Linked DNA regions of Ovis aries. The protein of the gene in region 3 purifies or fractionates together with the protein of the main gene of each other region. This does not show direct contact. Links are inferred from orthologs where the notes say so. Each region holds a gene or a part of one and is shown on either strand. Other genes may lie near its edges. The genes, in order: CDH1, CDH5, CTNNA1 and TES.

Evidence for each region.
Region 1: the proteins of CTNNA1 (region 3) and CDH1 purify together in Homo sapiens (affinity purification with western blotting; 10 studies listed by BioGRID and IntAct, with this or other methods). This does not show direct contact. The link is inferred for Ovis aries from reciprocal best matches to the Homo sapiens genes CTNNA1 and CDH1.
Region 2: the proteins of CTNNA1 (region 3) and CDH5 purify together in Homo sapiens (affinity purification with western blotting; 4 studies listed by BioGRID and IntAct, counting the BioPlex papers as one, with this or other methods). This does not show direct contact. The link is inferred for Ovis aries from reciprocal best matches to the Homo sapiens genes CTNNA1 and CDH5.
Region 4: the proteins of CTNNA1 (region 3) and TES purify together in Homo sapiens (affinity purification with mass spectrometry; 3 studies listed by BioGRID and IntAct, with this or other methods). This does not show direct contact. The link is inferred for Ovis aries from reciprocal best matches to the Homo sapiens genes CTNNA1 and TES.

What each region holds. Positions count from the first base shown.
Region 1 is NC_056067.1:35,665,436-35,670,701, reverse strand, and holds part of CDH1 (cadherin-1), read right to left. Parts: intron 5,236-5,266; coding exon 5,092-5,235; intron 4,967-5,091; coding exon 4,811-4,966; intron 3,852-4,810; coding exon 3,707-3,851; intron 2,158-3,706; coding exon 1,982-2,157; intron 1,709-1,981; coding exon 1,580-1,708; intron 115-1,579; coding exon 1-114.
Region 2 is NC_056067.1:33,728,772-33,734,033, reverse strand, and holds part of CDH5 (cadherin-5), read right to left. Parts: intron 4,850-5,262; coding exon 4,725-4,849; intron 4,365-4,724; coding exon 4,256-4,364; intron 2,139-4,255; coding exon 1,893-2,138; intron 1-1,892. UniProt on the Homo sapiens protein: Cadherins are calcium-dependent cell adhesion proteins. They preferentially interact with themselves in a homophilic manner in connecting cells; cadherins may thus contribute to the sorting of heterogeneous cell types.
Region 3 is NC_056058.1:47,903,897-47,909,162, reverse strand, and holds part of CTNNA1 (catenin alpha-1), read right to left. Parts: intron 3,678-5,266; coding exon 3,477-3,677; intron 2,966-3,476; coding exon 2,814-2,965; intron 1-2,813. UniProt on the Homo sapiens protein: Associates with the cytoplasmic domain of a variety of cadherins. The association of catenins to cadherins produces a complex which is linked to the actin filament network, and which seems to be of primary importance for cadherins cell-adhesion properties.
Region 4 is NC_056057.1:53,712,566-53,718,469, forward strand, and holds the start of TES (testin), read right to left. Parts: upstream 3,748-5,904; 5' UTR 3,568-3,747; coding exon 3,541-3,567; intron 1-3,540. UniProt on the Homo sapiens protein: Scaffold protein that may play a role in cell adhesion, cell spreading and in the reorganization of the actin cytoskeleton. Plays a role in the regulation of cell proliferation. May act as a tumor suppressor. Inhibits tumor cell growth.

The DNA.
Region 1 (5,266 bases), on a different chromosome or scaffold from region 3:
GTTTAATACTGTGTAAACAGCCTCCCATGCCGGGGTGTTGGGAACGTCGGCATCGGTCACTGTGAGTGTGGTGATGGCCACGTTAGCCTCGTTCTCAGGCACTGACCCCGTGTACTGAGGAGCAAAGGAGAAGATGGGTCACTTAGGATGTACTCAGTCAGACCCAGCAGTGGAGCCAGGACTCAGGGGTCTAAAGGAGTCCTTTCTTGAGTCCAAACTTTGAGAAGAGTCTGGCAGAAGTGCCCACTCTACCAGCACGATCCTTATTTTCTGTCAGTGGAGCAGCCAGCACTTAGGTGCCCTGTGGGTACCTGAAAGAGCCAAGGCCCTGCCCGTGCACACCCCTCAGCACACTCTGGCCCAGTTGCTGACACTGTCGTTTATCCCCTACTCCCCTCTGCTCCCATCGCTCTCAGTGGTACCAGTAATTTTCATAAAAGTCTGGTCATTATAACCTCCTGCCCTTTGATAACATCCCACTGCACTTAGGATACATCCTGAAATTCTAAATTCATTTCACAAGGTTCTGGAGGAGGCAGTTTCATTTGGCTCACTACACTATTTTTCAGTTCTTGCTATGCAGCAAGCTTTCTCTTGATTCGGGGCATCAGACCGTCTGTCCAAAGCTTCTCTTGAACTCGTAAAGCCTAGGCTAGAGTGGCAGACACTGCTGTCTACTGAAGATCTATTTTCCTCTTCTTCTCTAACATTAATACATGATTGATGGCAGCAACATGCCCAGATAAAATACTGTATTTCCAGTGTTCCTTTGCAGACAGCAGTAGCTAATGAGAGATAAATGAAATTTATGGGATGGGTCTTCACAGAAATAATAAAACTTGACTTAGCATCAAAGTCGTAGGTACCTCTCAACTTTGCCTTCTTTCTGAAGAAACCACAGACATAGCTGGAGCTCCATGTGCCATCTTGGGCCACAAAGTGACACTGGGGATAGAATCCATGCACCAAGGATGGAGGGAGACTGGATAAAGGAGGCTTGGTTTCTATTGACAGAGTGGACTATGTACCTCTGAGTCTTTTAAAGTGTAGAAAAAGGCAATCCTATTTGTTTAAACTGTTAATAGTCAAATCCCTCTTATTAACCATTAAGCTGATTTCTAAGGAACACAACAAGGTTTCAGGTTCTCAGTACCTTCTTCTTGACTGCATTTACTAAAATTACACACAATTATTAGTTGTCTAATGTCTCCCTAGCTAGACTCTAAGCTCCATGAGAACAGAATGATGGTCTGCTGTGTTTGTGATAATATGCCCAGTGTCTAAGACAGTGCCTGGTATAAACCCAGAGGATATTTATTCAATAGATAAAACCTGGTAAGATCTGCTACTAAGATGCCCAATATGAGGACATGGATTCAGGAGGTGCATTTTGCAGCTTCAGAAACCTAGGCCAACAGGCATCAGGCTGACGATGACAGACAACTGGCACCTCAACTTGCTTGTTCTTTAGCTTGAAGTTGAATGGTCTGGGAAAAGTTACCTAAGGGTTCACCCCTGAGATACTGGGAAACAACCAAGGACCTTTCTTTGGAGACTGTCTAAGAAGGGGCAGGGTTACCGTGGTCGGGTCGAATCTGGGAGCATTATCATTGGTGTCCAGGACTGTGATCACGGCCGTTGCAGTTGTGCTCAAGCCTTCGCCATTAAGGTCTGCTGCTTGGACCATCAGGGTGTATGTGGGAAAACTCTGCAGAGATCGAACACAGCCGAGTCAGGACCCACAGCTACATCAGATCCCACCCAGCTCCCAGCAGAGAAACAGATTACTTTTTCATCTGCTTAAATACCAATAACTCCACCTGCCTGCCTGGCCTCAAATCTCTAGACAAACTCTGAGATGCAAAGTTCAGACCATCACCATGCTAAATGGTGACCAGCCTTGGCAGAGTTTTACATCATCCAGGAAATGGAGTTAACATTATTTGCCCTCCACACCCTCTGGATCCTCCTGACCCCTGACCTCACGGTCCAGCCCGGTGGTGAGCACACTGATGACGCCTGTTTCCTTGTTGATGGTGAACATTTTGTTGTGTGGCAGCATGGGCTCTTGGGCTAGGATTTTGTAACCGATGGCAGCATTGTGGGTGTTCACGTCATCATCTATATCTGTGGCTGTGACCTGCATCACAGAGGTTCCTGGAAGCAAAGAAGATTCGTTTCCAAAATTCTGACCAAAGTGCTTAGTGGAGGAAGAAAGCATTCTACCAAATGAATGAATGGTGTTCCCAGAACCCACCTGGTTCAACTGAAACATTTTTGCTCTGTCTCATACACTAAATGAATAGTGCATAAGAGAGGAAAAACCCCAGAAATTGCCACAATTCGCTTCCTAGCCACATTTCCGCCTGAGAGAATGGTCATCTAAGATCACTGCCTTCAAGGTGGAAGGAAATATTGATAACGTTCATGACAAATAACTCTTTAAGAATCAATAGGCAGGGAATTCTCTAGTTGTCCAGTGGTTAGGACTGTGTGCTCTCACTTCCAAGGGCCTAGGTTGAATCTCTGGTTGGGGAAGTAAAAGTCCCAAAACCGAACAGTGGGGTGGGGAGGGGTGGCAGAGGGTGGGGAGAAGGAGAGAACCAATAGACGAAAGACAAAAAGCCCAAGAGAAAAAAAAAAGGGCAAAAGACTTGAACATTTAAGTTGTAAAGAAACCCAAATGGTCAGCAAACATATGATGCTTCTTTACTCCATTAATAATCATAGAAATGCCATTTTACATTACACTGATATATAATCATATACTCAACAGACTGGCCAAAAAGAAGTCTTACAATTCCATGAGGTATATTGCTGGTAGGAGTGTAAATTGGTTCAACCACCTTAGAAAACTGTTTGTCACCGTGTAGAAAAGTAAGCAAAACTCACAAGGTGTTACCCAGCATTAAGTACACACATCAGAAGATGAATGAAAGTAAGGGAATGATTATCACAAAAGTCAGAGTGAAAGTTGCTCAGTTATGTCTGACTCTTTGTGACCCCATGGACTGAACAGTCTATGGACTTCTCCAGGCCAGAATACTAGAGTGGGTAGCCTTTCCCTTCTCCAAGGGATCTTCCCAACACAGGTCTCCTGCGTTGCAGGCGGATTCTTTACCAGCTGAGTCACAAGGGAAGCCTATAAAGGTCAGGGTAGTGGCTGCCTTTAGGGGACAGAGAGAAAAATGTGATCAGGAAGGGACTGTACAGGGGCCGTAAACTCTTAACAAGATCTGTTAACTTTTCTTGGCTGCGCAGCATGGGGAATCTTTAGTTCCCCAACCAAGGTTTGAACTCACACTCCCTGCATTGGAAGTGTGGAGTCTAAACCACTGGACTACCAGGGAAGTCCCCAAGGATCTATTTCTTAATCAGGGAAGGCTATTCTTAAACTGCTCTGTATTTGTTTATTTATTTAGCTGCCCCAAGTCTTAGCTGTGGCATGTGGGATCTCTGGAGTATGGAGTCTTAGCCACTGGACCACCAGGCAAGTCCAAATTGCTCCTTCCTTAAACTGCTCTTGGACATTTTCTACATGTTTCTGTCAGGAGGATATTTTACACACACACACTATCTTCCAAAGAAGTTCTGCGCCTATGAAAGGCCTGACCCCAAATGCCAGCCCCAACACTTGGGGAAGGGGGGCGGTCCAAAGAATCTAAATTGTCTTGGTGGGTGTTGAGCTCCTCGTGGCTGGACACACCTGGAAGAGCGCCTTCCAGGACAGACCCCTTGAAGACCTCCTGGGTGAACTGGGGCTTGTTGTCATTCTGGTCGGTCACTGTGATCACGATCTCCATAGGCTCTTCAATGGCTTGTCCATTGGAAGATACGGCATGAGAGAAGAGCTGCAAGAGCCAAGTGAGGGTTACTCGGGAAGAGGACATGGGAGAAGGGGTCCGACCAGAGCAGTGTGGGCTCCACTGGGCCCCACTCCCTTCCACTCAAGTAAGGACTCCCCAGCACAGAGCTTATCCCACACACATGCTGCTGCTTCAGTGAGGTCATGGCACTGGTTAAGACTACAACATGGGAAGACGCATGGGCTGGAGAACACACCTACCAGGTCAAAGGCCCCATTGCCCACATGGGGGCTGAGGACCAGGGCTAGGAGATAAAGGTGGAAACCTGAGACTCTCTGACTTACTCCAAGCAGGGTCAGATCTACTCTGGACACTTGAGTCTAGGGTTTCCCCAAGACCTTTCTGCATTTGGCATCAAGGCATTACCTCCCAACGTCCCTGAGCTCACACTGCTCTCAAGGCCCAGAAATGATTTTTGTTCTCCAACATCATCACCATCCTCTGCCTTTATGTCATCATTGTTGTTTAGTAGCTAAGTTGTGTCTGACTCTTTGCAACCCCATGGACTGTAGTCTGCCAGGTTCCTCTATCCATGGGATTTCCCAGACAAGAATACTGGAGTGGGTTGTCATTTCCACCACCAGGGGATCTTCCTGACCCAGAAACTGAACCTATGTCTCCTGCACTGGCAGGCAGATTCTTTACCACTGAGCCAGCAAGGAAGCCCGTCTGCCTTTATGTCAGGGACTTTTAATCCCAAGAATAGGTTGACATCTTGGGTCTAAGATCATGTCTGATACCTCGAGACTCTCTCCAACTTTATTCCTAACAAAAACAGCCCCTAGTTTTTCCCAGGTTCTCCTGTCATTTCACCTTATTGACAGGTCTAGACGAGTCAAGCTCTTCAAACGTCCAGAGCATCTGATCTACGATCAACATGAATTGACCAAAATATTTTGGAAACATGTAACCCCATCATTAACAAGCTTCTAAGAGACACTCACAATGTACTTGGCAATGTGTTCTCTATCCAGAGGCTGTGTCACTTTTAACCATCCTGTTTCTCTTTCAATAATAAAAACACCGACAGGGGGTGTGTCAGCTCCTTGGCCAGTGATGCTGTAGAAAACTTGGGTTTCTTTCTCCCTGTTAGATTTGATCTGGAGACAAAGCAGAGAGAGATGAATGAGCAAGAAAGGATCCTGACACTGGTTGTTTCCCCTTTCTCTCCTAGGTCCTTCTCAGCCAAATTCCCTCCCAGAGAAGGAAGTACAGAAGGAAGTACCTGGACCAGCGACTTAGGAAATGGGCCTTTCTCATTTTCTGGGCAGCTGATGGGAGGAATGACCCAGTCTCTCTTCTGTCTCCGGAGACCATGGTGGGAGCCAGGAAATGTGAGCACTTCCGTCTGAGTTCCAGAGAGAGAGTCCTAAAAGGAAAGAAGGTGAGGAACAAAACAG
Region 2 (5,262 bases), on a different chromosome or scaffold from region 3:
CACCCTCACTCCCAGCCCAGAGTCATGTCCATCCCAACCCCACCCCAGGGCATGATCCTTGTTGGTGTCACTGGCCACAGTAGGGTTGGGAGGAGAGGAACACAGTGGACCTTCTCTCAAGTTCATTTTCTCCTGCCACTCTCCTTCCCATCTAACTGCATCCTCAGTTCCTCCCACCTCGTAGCTCTGTGATGAATTCTCTGTCATCTACAAAGGCCAGGAGGCCATAGGTTGGGGCAGAAGAGGGGAAAAGATGGAGTTGGAATTTGGGGTGCAAAGCTTCTGAGCCATGATGACGATGGTGGGTCGTGACGGTGCTGGTGGACGTGGCTCCCGTTGCAGTAGCAGCAGCCACTCTTGAGCACACCTGCTGTGTACATTCTGGCATAGTGGTGGCACGTTTTCACGTTCTTTTACTCAGTTCAGTTCAGTCGCTCAGTCGTGTCTGACTCTGCGACCCCATGAACCGCAGCACACCAGGCCTCCCTGTCCATCACCAAGTCCCGGAGTCCACCCAAACCCATGTCCATCGAGTCGATGGTGCCATCCAACCATCTCATCCGGTATTATTATCCCATTTTACGTAAGTAGACTGATCTCAGAGAAGCTGAGTCCCTTGCCCAGAGTCCCATGATCAGGCAGTGGTGTGATGTTGGCCCTGCCCAGAGCTCTGAGGGGTGCGACTGCATAAGGGTTGCCAGCCCTAGGAGGGGTAGCCCACATGGGGCAGAGAGCTCCTGGAAGCAGGCCCAGAACTTCCCTAGACTCTGTCCTTCTAGCCTGGAGTTACTTAACCGACTGTTAATAGGCAAGCCAGGGTGGCCCTCTGAGTCTGCTTCCTTGTCTGTAAAATGGAAGTGATGACTCCTCTGCCGTTTACATCTGATAAGGTGCAAGGTTAAGTGCAATTCTATGAGTGGTGGGGATGCCAGTATCATCACTGTTACAGATTTGTATTGAGAGGGGACTCTCAGTCTGGACTCTTGGCCACAGCAGGGGGGCTCTGCCAGGGGGCCTCTCAGGGGAGCCACTGGCAGGAAAGGCCTGGAGCCTCACTGTGTCCCCAGTCCTGTCACTGTAGTGCGCAGGGTGACCTCTGACCACTCATGGGCTTCCTTTGGACGGCTGGCTCCTGCCCCACGTAAAGAGCAGGAGGAGCCCCGGCCATCTGCCGGTGGGCGTTGGTGGATGAACATGACTGAGCGCTGCCGCCCAGTCCCCGGGGAGGAGAAGCTCCAGTGGCCCATGGTGGCAACTTGTGTGACAACTTGCCCTTCACCAGCTGCCTCCTTTCCCTGTCAAAACTCCCACTCTTCCTTCTGGGCCTTCCTGGGACCACTTCTCAAATAAATCATGTGTACCCCAATCCTTTTCCCAGGGTCTACTTCCTGGAGACCGTACACTGAGGCTAGGTCTAAAATGCCTGTAAAATTTCTGAGGCCCAAACAAGGGGAAAAAAAAAGAAAAAGAGAGAGAGATCAAGGCTGGAGGAATCCTAAAAAAAGAAAGAAAGCGCCCCCTGGTGATAATTTAAACAAGAAAATTTACACTTTCCATTTCTCTCCGAAAGAGAGACTGGATCCTCTTTTTTTCAAAAGAGATTTTATATAAATAAGTGCCTGGAACAGTGCCTGGCACACAGTTAGTGCTCAAAATATGTCGGTTGAATGAATGAATGTTATATAAAGTATTTTAAACTGGGGAAGGGGTCTTGAGCTGCGCTTCCTCCTCCCGTCATCCACTTCCACCCTTCTGCACCCAGGGAGGTGGACCTTACCCCAGCATGGGCCGCACTTTGGGCTGAAAGCAGCGGGGCTGGGCCTGGATCCCCGGCCGCCTCCTCCTCCCCTGCAGTCCCCTCGCCATCCCTTCCCATCCTTCTGGGCACTGACCTGTGATGGTGAGGATGCAGAGGAAGATGGCTACCAGCGCCTGGATGCTGATGCCCACCTGGGCGGCCACCTCCTCGCACAGGGTGAACTCGCCGTGCTCGTTGCACTTGCACACGGTCACGTGCAGCATGCTGGTGCCCGTGAGGCTTGGCCTCCCGTTGTCCGAGATGAGCACGGGCAGGTGGTGGACCTTGGCGCGCTCCCGGTCAAAATACCCGTACTTGACTATGATGTTGGCCGTGTTATCTGGAAACACCAAGGCCTCGGAGTCAGGCGCTGCTGTCTGGAGTGCCCATTCTCTCGTCACCACCGACAGTGGGGCCCGCCTCCTCCAGGAAGCCCTCGTAACTGTACCCGCTCATATGCTGCCTGGGCCATGTGTCTGCCCTTTATACCCCTGCCTCGTGTTTTAGCCGTTGTGGGCAGGTCTGTTCCTCCAGAGAGGGGATGTTTTGGGCAGCTGCTTCGATTTGGCCTCTAAGAAGGATTTGGCCAGTACTTAAAATCATTGCTTTTTTGTTTCTATGGGTAACTGAAATACCTGACCCCTAACCCTACTTCAGTAAGAGGGAACTCTCAGTTAATTAATGCATTGTTTCATGCTTTTATGAACAATCGGGGGAAAACAAAATTGAAAAAGTCTCTTAGCATCAGGCTAACTTCTAAGGCTGTTTCTGCTGTCCCTGAAAATGCATTAGAAGGTAAGAACAACGCACAGGTCCCCTGGGGCACTGAGGGAATGATTCCAGTGTAATTGAGGATTCCCTGGGCAGGTTGGAATTGGGACTGTGCTTTGGTCCAAATATTGGCTCTCCCTCTCAGCTCCAATCAGTCCATGTACAGAATTCCCCAGGGAGATTTTTGAACATGTTGCTTTTCAGACCCCACCCCTACCCACCTCCCCTCTACTCCTCCTTCCTTCTTTTCCCCTCTCTCCTTTCCTGAATTTCTGTTTCAGTGGCTCTGGGCAGAGGCCAGAAAAATGTGTCTTTTACTGGCTTCTGGGAGGTTGTGATGGTCAAAGTTGCAGGGACTCCCTACTCCAGGTTTTATGTAGCTACATGGGCGGGGTTGGCACACTCAGGAAGCCAAAAGCAAAGGAGGCTGTCTTATAGATTTTAAATGGAAGCCAATTATGTTTCATTATTAAGTAGCCATATCTATTGTAATAGAAAATAATAACAGTATGGCCACTGAGACTGTATGAGAGAAATGAGAGATTTCTCGCTATACTCATTTAATATTGTAGCGGGACATTCATGTTATAAGTGAGTCTGAGGCCAACGAGCTTATCTCCTGATCACATATTGGGGGGGGTCTTTGGGGGTGACACTTAAGCTTTTTACTCCATTGCTGACCTCTTGTGAGGTAGGTTTGAAGCAGGCACTGGGGATGGTTGTGACAGGTATTTTTCCCACATTATTTACTACCGAAGACAGCGGAGTGTTGAATGGTGTGGCACTGACTGTCAGCATGTCCTGGCCACCATCCCCATCTCTCAAGAAGGAGTGTGTGGCTGGCCCCCTGGGTCTCCCCCTCACTCTCAGGAATCCCAGTCCCTGACCTTCCTCAGAGGTGGCAGTGGCTGTGTCTATGGTGGGAGCCTCACCAACCACCACGTTGCCGGTTAGGGATGGGCAGGGATTCCTCCCCATTCTGGAGAAAGGATTGCTCTCTTTAGACCCAAGGGGGATTTTCTAGGTTTTTTTTTTTTTCTGAGGAAGGTGCAGAGAGCATGGAAGCCTGTCTGTTTTTGGCTGGAATCCAGCCAACTCAGCCTTATCACTCCAGGGAGCACATACTCATCAGAAGCTCTGATTGGCCACTGCTGACATCGCAGGACTCTGGGATGTGACTGGTGGACCAGATCCCGTCCTGAGGATACCTGGTGTTAAGTGATCATTGCGGCCAAATCAAAACACTGTATTCTTGGCATTTTGGTTTCAAATGTCCCATTTTGGCTTTTTGGGAGCAACCTCAAAGTTCCGTGTCATAGAGTAATTTGCAGTTGTATTGACCACAGAGGTCCCATGGGAAGGAGTCCCTTAGTTTGTGAACCAGGCTCTCTACACCCCATGTCTATTCTGTGCCTATTCAGTGACCTGGGCATCTTAAGGGAAAAGGCAAGGCCATGTGGAGTTGGCAGCGTGGCCAGGGTGGCTCTGACAATTGCACGGACCAACAAGGTATGTGGTGGGAATTGTATACAATATCTTGGAACTTGATAGCCCCAGGGAGGGCACCTGATTCATTGGCTTGTCTGTAACCGTGGCATCTCAAGACTCAAATAACTCCATCCCTGACCGCCACCTCCCCCCAACCCCGCCCACTCCAAGAGCCAGGCTGACTGCTTCAAGGCGCACCGTGATTATCAATGAGGGTGAAGTTGCTGTCCTCAGTGCTCAGGGAGAACTTGAACTTCACATCTCGTGGTGTTATATCCTTATCTGTTGCTGAGATTTGCACGACCAGCTGGAGGGTGGAAGATGGGGGATGGTCAGTGGTGGTGTTGAGCTGGCTGGGGTTTCAGTGATGGTGAGGGACTTTGGATTTAGATCTGACTGTGGCTGCCTCTCACCTGTAACACTAATCTCAATGGTCTCCAAAAAGTCACTCTTTCTACCACCCGCCTCCCCACCAATCTGCTCACTACACATTGTTTCTCTGAGCCTCAGTTTCACCATCTGTAGGGGGAATGTCATCTTTCCTCAAGGCTGTTCTACAGGTTACATTAAGCTCATGAAGCGCCAGCTGACTGTGAGCAGGAGGTGCTGCCCCTTTGGTCTGACCCAGGCAGGCGCTGCCTCGCCCTCCCGCCTGAGCCAGACTCACCGTGCCCTGGGGGGCGTTCTCACACACTTTCGGCTCATAGGGCTTGGCGAACTCTGGGGCGTTGTCATTCTCATCCATAACTTCAACGTAGACCTGCACAATGGATTCTTTGCCCGTGGGAGTCCCTGCAGGAGAAAGGCCTTGTCACTACAGTGGACTTAGCAGATGTCAGCCCTGAGATTAGAAGGTGTATTGGTGGGAGTCCTGGAGGGGTGCTCTTTTTTCTGGAAGAGGGGGCTGTGGACATTTAGAAGGAAGGCCAGGGATGGTGTTCTGGATGAAAGGAGCAGAAGAGGAAGCGGGGTAAAGCCTCATGCATAAGGATATTTGCTAGAGAATTACTTGTAAGAATCAAAAAGAGAAACAACATAAATGTATTTTTAAAGGTTTTAATTAAATCAATTAAGTAATTATTAAGTCAATGCAGTAATTTAAGTAATCAAACCGATTTAAATAAATTAACTATGGAATAATTGAAAAGGTAAACAGGCTGTGTGAAATTGCTTTAATAAACCGGACCAGTTTAAAAGAATGGACC
Region 3 (5,266 bases):
CTGAAGACAGACGTGTCATCAACTGATGAGAGAACTGAGTGCAGAGATGCAGAGCTCACTTTAGGGATGACAAGCTTGAGGCAGACAAGCGAGGGGCAGCAAGCAGGGTGGCTAGAGGAGTGGACCATGGGAGTCAGCCTCTCACTGGTTTCCTCTCATCTTTATGCTCCAAGCGAATGAACACAGTCAGAAAAGAGACAGGTGAGAATCTATGCTACAGGGTGTACCCGTGGTCCCAGGCTGTGAAGATGGAGGAGGAGGGACCAGCGAGTTTTCTTCCGATGGGAGAAATTAAGGCATGTTTGTCTGCTGGGGGAAAAGTGCTGGAGGAACAGGGAACGAGACCCAGTGCAGGGAACAGGCTCAGCCAGGAGCAGATGTTCAAACCACCTCAGGATCCTCGGGAACGATGGATCTCTGGTGGCTCAGAGGGTGAAGCGTCTGCCTGAAATGTGGGAGACCCGGGTTTGGTCCCTGGGTCGGGCAGATCCTCTGGAGAAGAAAATTGCAACCCACTCCAGTATTCTTGCCTGGAAAATCCCATGGATGGAGAAGGAGCCTGGCGGGCTACAGCCCATAGGGTTGCAGAGTCGGACGTGACTGAGTGACTTCACTTTCACTTTTTTAGGATCCTCAGTGAAACGGTTACCAGGGCCAGACAGGTAGGATGGGGCACAGGTGGGGAAAGGGGAGGCAAGCAGGAAGGTAGGAAGTGTTCCCAGACTGTGTAGCACCAGCAGTCCCCTGACATCCTGGGTCCAGTGACCCCAGTCAGATGACTGTACTTTTATGCACCATGTTCAGCAGAAGACAGAATTTCACTAGGGCTGTATTTTGAAAGGCAAATAAGGGGAGTAAAAGGGTGCAAAATAGATTGTACTGATGAAACAGAAGCTGGAATAGGAGTGAGACAAGGACCCAAGAGGCTGAGGGAGGGTTGCAAGTGGGGAGGACCAACCGGCTGAATATCCTGATGGACTCAAAGCATTGTTGGAAGTCACAGAACCAAAGGGAGCAGCTGACGGAAGGGATGATGGGGATGCTGGTTATGACAAGGACCAGGCAAAAGAGGCTAACTACAAGGCATCAAGAAACCAAGAGGCCCTGGGTTGGAAGGATGGTTCCTGAATTAAATCAAGACAAAAAGGAGGAACTAAACCAAGGCTGCTGCAGACCTACCCGTCCTTGCTCCCTGAGCCCTCCCAGGTGACCACACCCAGGTTCCATCTCACCACACCTGCCAGGGCCTCTTGTACTTACGATCCCACACAGCAGTAAGCACACAAGAAACAGCTACTACATGCCAGGCCCTGACCTGACCTCCAGTTCATCCCATCAAGCTACCAACACCATCATCTGCATCTTAGAGAGATGCGGGAACTTGCTGAGAGTCTCAGATGTGAGGAGGAACCCTGCTTCCACAGAACAGGCCCTGGATGTGCAGGTATCCTGGGGTGTGTGCAGTGCCAGCTCATTTAAAACCCCAAAGGCATTAACCTCAGACACTCAGCAACTCATGATTATTAATGTTTCTTCTATTCTCTGTCCGCATGCAAAGAACTTTGGAAAAACAGGGCTGCGTTTTGCCATCACTGGTGCGCTTGACCCAGGGACCCCTTCGCACCTCTGGGGGCCAGGCCTCCCTGAGCATGGGCTGCTCTCCAGCACAGCAGCAGGGGTGAACAAAGCAACAGGCTCCCCCAGATCCCCTCCCAACCCCCAGTATGTGCAGGTGACCCGGGCCTGCAGGAACACCCAGCAGCCAGCCATACAGTCCTTGAGCCATTCTTGTTGCTCCTTACCCCTGAGAGAAGTGCAGTAATGCCCAAATGTTGCTACGTTGCATACAGAATGTATCCAGCCTGATGCAACTACCTTAGAAATGGCTTCTGTTTCCAGCTGAGGGGGTAAAAAGGGGGACAGAACCCCGTCCGCCTTGGGCGGTCGGACTAGCAAACCATGAAGGTGTAACGGAAGCTTCCCGACAAGACTAGACTGTCAGCAGAGGCCAGCAGCCGTCTACTCAGCAGGCCTGCCTTCCAAATGCTGGCTCTGTGGCTACGGCAGGGCTGGCCCGAGCCTGGGGGTGACTCCGGGAGAGCTTGGCACAGGTCCTGCTCTCCACTTCCAGAGCAACACATTCATGTTCAAAACAGCGTGTGAGGCATCAACTGCTATGTGAGTCCCAGCCTAAGACACGGGATGATCACGGAGGAGGTGGTTTCTCAAAACCCTACTGTTCATGCCCAGGGGACCCCAGACACTGCCTCAGACGCTGAGAACTGCCTCTGGCTCAGAGAGGACGGGTCAAACGGGGCCCAGAGCAGGTGGCACTTCCCTTCAGCCACGGTGAGAGGGCTCGACACTTGGCCCTAGAGATCAGGAGCATCACCAAGGGCTGCACAGCCCCTCATCCTTCCCCTCAATACCCTTGGGCTCTAGTACCCTGCCTGCCTGCCACCCCTCTGAGGTGAGGAGTGCTCCATGTAAAGAACAGTTTCAACCTGAATAAAGGAAATATTCCCTTCTCTGAAATTCACTGAGGAGCCTTTATTTTCTATCACTGCCCTTTAACTCAAGAGGAAGCCTCAATTCATACTAGGTCCCCTTTTCTCAGCCCAAGTTTGGGCTCTAACTTGCAACTAAAAGTCATTTTAAACAATGTAATTAAACATATCTCTTCCTAACAGCCCTTAGATTCATGGTTTTAATATATTGCCAACACATCTGTTGAGTTCCAGAATGATGCATTGCTCAAGTTTAGCAAATGATAAGAAGGAAGCTGTTAAAACATCTGAAATGCAGTTACTCACCCTTATCATCAACACCGCTTTCCTGATGTCCCGGATGCCATCGTACACCAGGCGGGAGGCATCAATAAACTCGTTTTCATCCATGGGCTGGGCAGGGTCTGAGCTGAGGGCTTCCACAGCCGCTTCCACTTGCTCAGTAAAACGTGGCATGACTGCGGAGAAGAGAGATGATAACATCACCACCAGCCCTCCTAAATCCCTCAGTCAGATGCAGAGAGGCAGAGTGTATGATGAAGAGCCTCTGCTTCTACCTATGTGAGAGGTATTTATAGTTCAAATAAATTAAATGCCATATTTTACAAAGACTTGAATCCTCTTCTTTGTCTCTGGCCAGATTCTGGAACACAGGATTTAGATGGCTGAGAATTTGAATTGGGATTAACTAGAGGCCTTACTAGAATGGGACTCTCCTTAATTTAGTGTGTTCACTAACTAGAGATATAACTCAGAAGTTCAGAGTTCAGAACGACTCCCATTACTACCTGTGGGACACAAGTAAGGGAAACGTGTTTGTGTGGTCTTACTGTGGCTGACCAATGACTCATAAATCCGATGTACCTTCCAGAACTCTTGTCCGAAAACCAAACTGAGCCCCAGTGTCCTACTTCCTAACCAGAGGGCCATCTGTGTGTGAGGAGCACAGGTGAGGGAGGGGTCCCGCACCTGTGTTGGAGAGCAGCTTGGTTGCTTCCAGCACCTTCTCTGTGTAGACTCCTGGTTCATAGTTGTCCATCTCTGAGGTGACAACATGAATGACCCGGGCAGCCCGGCCTCGAATTGCACCAGCTGTGCGGTCTAGCCCATCCACATCTTTCTCTTGGAGAGCAATGACACATTTGTTCACGTCTTCCAAAATGTGATTCTCTGAGGAACAAACAAAAACAGCTGAATGAGGGAGGAGGCCTCCCACCAGAAGTGGACGATTTTAAGCTGGCATCTGTCACTCATCCAGTGCTCACTGCGTGCCAGCTACAGTGCCAAAAGCTTTGCACATCATTCACTCAAGAGACCAGACTACCCAGGGATCAACTGCCTGGAAACTGGACCTGCAATCACCCCAAGAATAACCATCTTTATTCCAGGTTTAGAAGAGACAGGCAGAGACGCCCATCTTTCAGAATCCTTGATAATTTCTTTCCCTTAAACAATTTCATTGATTTTATATCCCAAAGTCTAAATTAGAAGACAAGGTTCACTATTCCCAGTCCCTTGCCCCTCGCTCCAGGAGATGCCAGTGGTATTCAGACAAACGACCAAGACATCAGGACAACTCTGGAACATGAGAAGAGCCTGGAAGGCAGGCAAAAGCCTCGTGGAGTTGGATTTGGAAGATCTACCAGAACTGTTTTTCCTCAAAGACAAAGCTTGACCCTGGGTATTGGGAACCCCAGAATGAGGAGTTCACGTTAACCTCATCTATAATAGCAAAGTAGGAGCAACCAAAATGTCCCAGAACAGAGTAATAAATTATGGGCACTGGGCAGCCACTGAAATGGATGAAGATCTGCAGGGGCTGACCCAGAATGGGAAAGGGAATGTTCTCACCACCAGGAACTGTGCAGTCCACCAGCAGAAAGCCCTCATGATAGGGCTCACAACGCATGGGGCCGGTGGGTGAGCAACACAGTCTCCAGGTCATTGTCTGGCTATTTTCTTCCTGCTCAGAAAGCAGCTTTCCTTAAGACACACAAGAAATCTGAGAAGCAGTGTCTGTTAAAGACATGCTCCCTTCCTTAAACCAAGACAGTTCATGCACTGGTTTTTCTGGAAGAGTCAGGACAATTAGAGCAAATGTAATCTGTTTAAGAAACACATCTGGGGACTCCCCTGGTGGCTCAGTGGTAAAGAATCTGCCTGCCAATGCAGAAGACACAGGATCAGCCCCTGATCTGGAGGACCCCACATGCCACGGAGCAACTAGGCCCATGTGCCTCAGCTACTGAAGGCTGAGAGCCCACACGCTGCAACAGAAGCCCCCCGCTTTCTGCAACTAGAGAAAAGCAGGTGCAGCAATGAAGACCCAGCAGAGCCATACATAAATAAAATTATAACTAATAAAGACCGAGAAACGCAGCTGACCATTTCTTTCCCATCCTGGTTACATTATGCTTTTGACTTGTCATGATCTAGGACTGGTTCTGATTTAATTCCCTTCTAAAAGTTATTACCCTTCCCTCACAGCCTCTGCTGACACAGTCATGTTACATAACACAATGTCTAGAAGAGTGATTACAATAGCTTTACCTCCTAAGATACCTCAAACAAGCAAGTGGACATGATGCTGTTTCCTCTTATCTCAAGGGGAGCCAGAGGCACATGCAAGTACTTAGTAGCTCCAGCAAACAACAGAGCCACCACAATGCCCTGCCTGTGGGCTTCCAGATACCCAGCAGGCTCCAGGAACAGGGCCCTCCATTCTGAAGTTCCCTGGAGATGGCAGGCATGGCTTGCAC
Region 4 (5,904 bases), on a different chromosome or scaffold from region 3:
GGTTAGAAAGGAGGCAAACAATGAATAAGGTGTAAAATTAAAAGTTCTATAGCAATTCCAGGCAGCATAAGGGAAATTACTATAGTTCTCTTTCTCTCTGGTATGTTTTTAAAGGGAAAAAAGTGTTTCTCAGGGGAGAGTAACACAGAAAGGAAAGAGGAAAATAGCTGGCTGTGGGCCATGATTTAGCATTCATCACAAAATGAGACTCTGTTTCTGTTTCTCAAAGGTCATTGTGTTTTCCAAGCAGACACAGGCTCTACTTACATGAAGTTAATTATAATGAAGAAACACAAGACATAAGGAAGAGATCTAGACAAGAAACTCCAAAGAAAGAGCGAAGATGTAAAACTCAAATTCTACTCTAAAATATTAAAACAAAACTCTGTATAACCAAACTAGCTCTTACTTCCTAGCAACAGCTCACTTATCTCAAACAAAATACAATATAGTAAAATCTAGTTATAAAAATTCCTTGCCTTTCTGATGGTGTATTTTAACTGGTAATTAATCCAAATTTATGCCCATGATAGACACCCAAGTTCTCCTCTTAAAAACAAAAAATCTTATAATAACATTATCCACCTAGGTGGATGTGAAATAAAGATAACCCTCTAATTCTTTTTACATGAAATGTTAATGGGAAAGTAACATTTGTCATCTGCCTAGAGAATATTTCTTATGAAAACAACAGTAAAAAGGTTTTAAAAGGAAAAAAAATGCCATGCATCTTAAAACAGAAGTTAAATTTAGTTTTAGTTAAATGGCTGTGTCTTTATTTCAACTTTCAGCTATGATTTTTAAAAGGTATAGTAAAACTATCAGTTTTCTTGTATATCCAAGTGAAAAAGAAGGGAGACCTGAAAAGTATCTAGATACCAAAATAGGGTAAGAAGGCTCATAAGATCAAAGATGATCTTGTAATGTTTCCTTCTTCTCATGTGTTAGAAAACAATTTCTAAAGGGAATGCAAGTTTCTTTTTGAAATTATGAAATGTATTTCTGGGACCTCTAAATTCTTTGTACTGGGAAACACTCTGTCAAATGCACAGAACATTAATCTGTCAAGGATCCTACCTAGACACAGAGAAGGTATGTTGGCAATCAGACTGGACATCTTTGGGATCTTTTACTTTCCAATTTACTAGTTGAGGACTTTGCCCTGAGAATCACCAGTGATGACAAGGTAGTGAAACAAGGATTTGTTACTGTCATGGTATTGTCTGTACAAGTTTTAAATTTATGGAATCCTTTTTCTTGGGGCGGCGGGAGGGGAGGAGGAAGATGAGAGAGAAGGATAAGATTCTCGGTTGAAAAGATAACCTTTTAAAGTAAAGGGAAGATGCAGGAGAAAAATTACACCATATATCAAGACCATTATTTATGATAATCCACATTCTGAAACTAAGGAAACTGTATAAATAATGTCTGGATTTTTCCCTTGCTAGCACATATAATTCTTAACTCTGGACTTTCTCCCTCAGAACTACTTCTTGTCTCAAATAATTTCAAAATCACTTTTGAATGCTACTTGTTTTTTTTTTCCCCTCCTTTTAAATAGAGGGGATTTTTGTTTTGTTTTGTTTTTCCGGAGCAGTCAGGTTCACAGCAAAATTTAGCAGAAGATACAGCATTCCCATATATCTCCTATCCCTTTTCAGACCAACCCCCACCCCCATTATCAATATCCCACATCAAAGTGGTACATTTGCTATAACTGATGAACTTTCACTGGCACATCATCATCCCCCAAAGTCCACAGTTTATTTTAGGGTCCACTCTTGGTGTTTATTCTGTGGGTTTTGACAAATATATAATGACAGGTATTCACAATTACAGTAGCTTACAGAATGGTTTCACCCATTCATCCCTCTCTCCCAAAGGATCTGGGCATTTAAAACGTCTTTTCTGAAGCACTATGTTTAAGCATAGACAAGATCCCCCCAAAAAATTTTTAGACAAGTACTAAATTACCCACTGTTTCCCACATGAAAAACAAAATAAGCAGCGTTCATCAACAGATGGCTAATTAAGGGGCAAACAAAATGCTTTCCTAGTAGCAAGCAAGATTAACAAAAAATGTGCTGCTGCTGCTGCTGCTAAGTCGCTTCAGTCGTGTCCGACTCTGTGCGACCCCAGAGATGGCAGCCTACCAGGCTCTTCTGTCCCTGGGATTCTCCAGGCAAGAACACCGGAATGGTTGCCATTTCCTTCTCCAATGCATGAGAGCGAAAAGTGAAAGTGAAGTGTCATCTAAAAGCAAAGAAAAGAATAAGAAACCAAACTAGAAGACAATAGAATTCAATCACTGTACTCTCAGAATACGTTTTCCTGTTCATGAATTCCCTTTTGGAAGCTGAGTCTAGTCACAAAGGGCAAACATGTTTTTTTTTTTTCCCCACTGCAGGCTTTTTATTTTTCAACAGCCTCCTAACCTAACCTAATATTTTGCACTTGCATATATTTTCAAAAATCCAACTCTGGGCATGAAACAGAACTAATGCTTAGGTTAGAAACCTTGTCTTTAGAAGATAAAGTAATGGCAATGTTGATAACCCACAATGAGCAAGAGAAGAAAATTAGGTTCTCTACTTTCCCCTCCTTTACTCTCAGCAGAACTTCCTTCTTTATTTGATAAGGAGCAACATTTCCTTCTCCAAGGAGCAAGTAGCTTAATCAATTCCCTGGAATGAGACGACCTTTCACACAGAACGTTACACTGGAATGTGACATCAGCATTCCCTCTGAGTCACAGTCTAGTCCCACCCTTTTCTCCCAGGAAACGCGAGTCTCCTAATATCACGGAGCGGCTCAGGTAGGGCCGTGGGTCCTGACGCCCGGAGGGCAGCCAGTCAGGAAACGTCTCCTGGAGCTAAACCACCGCTGACAATCGTCCTTTGGGACTAGTTGCCAAAGAAGGAGAACATTTTCTTTGGAAGACGAAGGCAGTGCTTTGGAAGTCAAGTAATGAATGACCAGAGACCAAAAAAAAAAAAAAAAAAAAGTTCACCTTTCACGCCATCACCAGCCGCTGCTGCGAAGGAAGCACATTAAATCAACGCTCACTCTAGACAGCCTCTTGACTGCCAAGCTGGGAAGGGAGGAGGTCTGAGCTGTCAAAAGTCTCATCAGTCACCCCAAACCACAAAGGCTTAATAAAGTTCAGCTTCCTGAGACAGGAAGAAGTAGTGTCACGGTTTCGCCCGAACTCGCCCTAAGCTCATCCTTTTCTTCTTGGGAGGCACAAGCCCTGCCAAAACATCTTAAGGAAAAGTTTCAAACACCTCCAACCGTTGGACTTGGTTAGACAGGGAGAAATGTCCCGCGCCCGCCCTCGCGCGCGACTCTCAGTCGCTCCTGGGTTTCAGGAGTTAGTAGGGCCAGCGGACACCCCCTCTACCCGAAGGACCGGGTACTGGGGCCCCGGGCGCCGGCGATCCCGACACCGCTCGTGCCTGACGGCCCTTGCGCCCCACCAGCCACTGGCAGCCAGGGGGCGGCGCCCCGCGCAGGTGAAGCGGCTGCTGCCAGCCACCCTACCTTCTTTACTTTGGCCTCCAGGTCCATGTCTATGTGTCAGAGGGGGTTTCTCCTCCTGTCGGGGATATCACGCCCAGGATCGCCGGGCGTCTGGCACCGTTGCCGGTACTGGAGGAGATGTACCGGGACACCGGCGCCACCGCCGCAGCCACTTGCCCGGCACGGTCAAACTTCCGCTGCCCAGTCGGCTGCAGCCGGCCTGCGGCGGGGACCGGGAACAAAGAGGCCCAAGCAGCCAATGGCAGCCGGGCCCCTCCAGGCAGCCGCCAATCACTGAGCGCCGCACGCACCTTCGCTGCCGAGCGCGGCGCCAGCAAGGTGAGGGGCGGGGCCGCGTTCGGGGCGGTACCCTGCGGAGCTCAATCCTGTAGCCCGGAGTTGATCTCTGAGGCTCCGCTGGGCGTCCTGACTACCTGCTCCCAAAGAATTGGAGCCCAAGCTGCCTCCAGCTGAAATGAGGAAGAGCCTTTTCCATTCAGTCAGCTTGAACCTGTTTTCCTTGGGACTTTAAATATGAATTCAGAGCGAAGAAAAAGAGAAGTTGTGGGGATTGTTAGGGATCTTCGTGATGGAAATGCACTCTATAATTTCACTGTTGAGTTGTGGAAAAGGCACTTGGCTAAATACTTTTCTCCAATATCCCAAGCACTGGCTGGAAACCTTATCTCAGACAGCCAATGAAGAGGGTTATATGGGTTTTCTGAGCATTTGATAGTTCAAAAATGAGGATAGTGTGAACCAGTAAAGGGATAACTTACACCATTCCTTTGGAAGGAGAGGCTTGTCCTTTGCCCCTGTTGTGTGAAATGATGTGAGGCTGCTCATGTGCCTCATGCTTAGATGAAGCAGTATCATAGGCATAACAAGCAGCGCTGCAGCTCTAGATTTGGATCCATATTATGGCCTCGTTCAGGAGCAATGGCAATGAATACTATTGCCTTGGTGGACCTGAAAGGAAATCTAGGGATTATTGAGTATAACTTTCTCATTTTGCAGGGAACTGAGGACCCCAGAAGTATAGGGACCTGCCCAATTTATTAGTCTCTTGGGGACAGAGCTAAAGCTCATGAGTCTTTAAGCAGTGTCTTCAGCTTGTTCCAGATGGAAAAAAACAACCTTTTGACTTTTTTTCCTCTGTTCATGGTAATGATAGAAAATTATAATGATTAGATAGCAAGTGACCACCTAATCTGCATCTACTTTTAAAAGGGAAAAAGTCCCAAATCATATAGCTATTTAGGTCCACATTTCTCTCCCCTTTGGTGGTGGTGGTGGTGGTGGTGGTGGTTTAGTCTCTCTGTCATGCCTGATTCTTGCAACCCCATGGACTGTATGTAGCCTGCCAGGCTCCTCTGTCCATGGGATTCTCCAGGCAAGAATACTGGAGGGGGTTGCCATTTCTTTCTCCAGAGGATCTTCTTGACCCAGGAATCGAACCCAGGTTTTCTGCACTGCAGGCAGATTCTTTACCAACTGAGCTACAAGGGAAGCCCTCTCTCCCCTTTACCTTTTGAAATATGATAACTTAAAAAACCCAAAATCATTTTAGCTAACGTTTTCAACCCTTAGGATCTTCCCCTGGACAGACCCCTGGTGTCCCCTGCCTTTTGTTTGCAGAAGAACATTAACTTCCTACGCTTTTCCCAAGTTCCCAAAAGCAAATTTAATCAGTTAAATGAGAAATTGCAAAAACAAAGGAAAACAGTCAAATGAAACTAAATAATAATAGTTTGGCTGTAAAGTAAAGCCAAGGGCCTTTAGCTTCTTCCTTCAGTGCTATAGATAGTATCCTGAGCCATATCCTTGTACTGGTTTTATAGAAACCAGGCCCCACTCCAACCAGATGAACCACCAACATGTAGGCCCCAGACTGGTTGGAATTAAGAAGGTTGATGATTGGGATTCCTGAAATTGTGTGCTGTTACTTCATCACCGACAAGTCAGAGAATTGTGCACAAGCTGGTCAGGCACCCTACAACCCATACCCCAAATGCTGCCTTTAAAAATCCTCCCGTAAAAACCACTGGGGAGTTTTAGTGTTTTGAGCTTTAGTTGCTTGTCCTCCTTGCTTGATGCCTTCACAATAAACACTACAGTTTGCTTCACCACAACCTGGTGTCAGTAGCTTAGCTTTGTCTCATATTGGATGAGCAGACCCAAATTCAGTTCAGTAACAAACAGAGCACTGATTTATGATGTGATGTTTTTCTTATTCTATTAATAAACTAAAAATGAAATGACCAAGATGGTCATGAATTTTTCTTCTCACTCAGTTTAATTAAAACTTTTCCAAGCCATTTTCCCAAACCATGCTACAATGTTTGGGCTCCTGCAAAGTTTACCCAATGTAAACTCCAATGAACA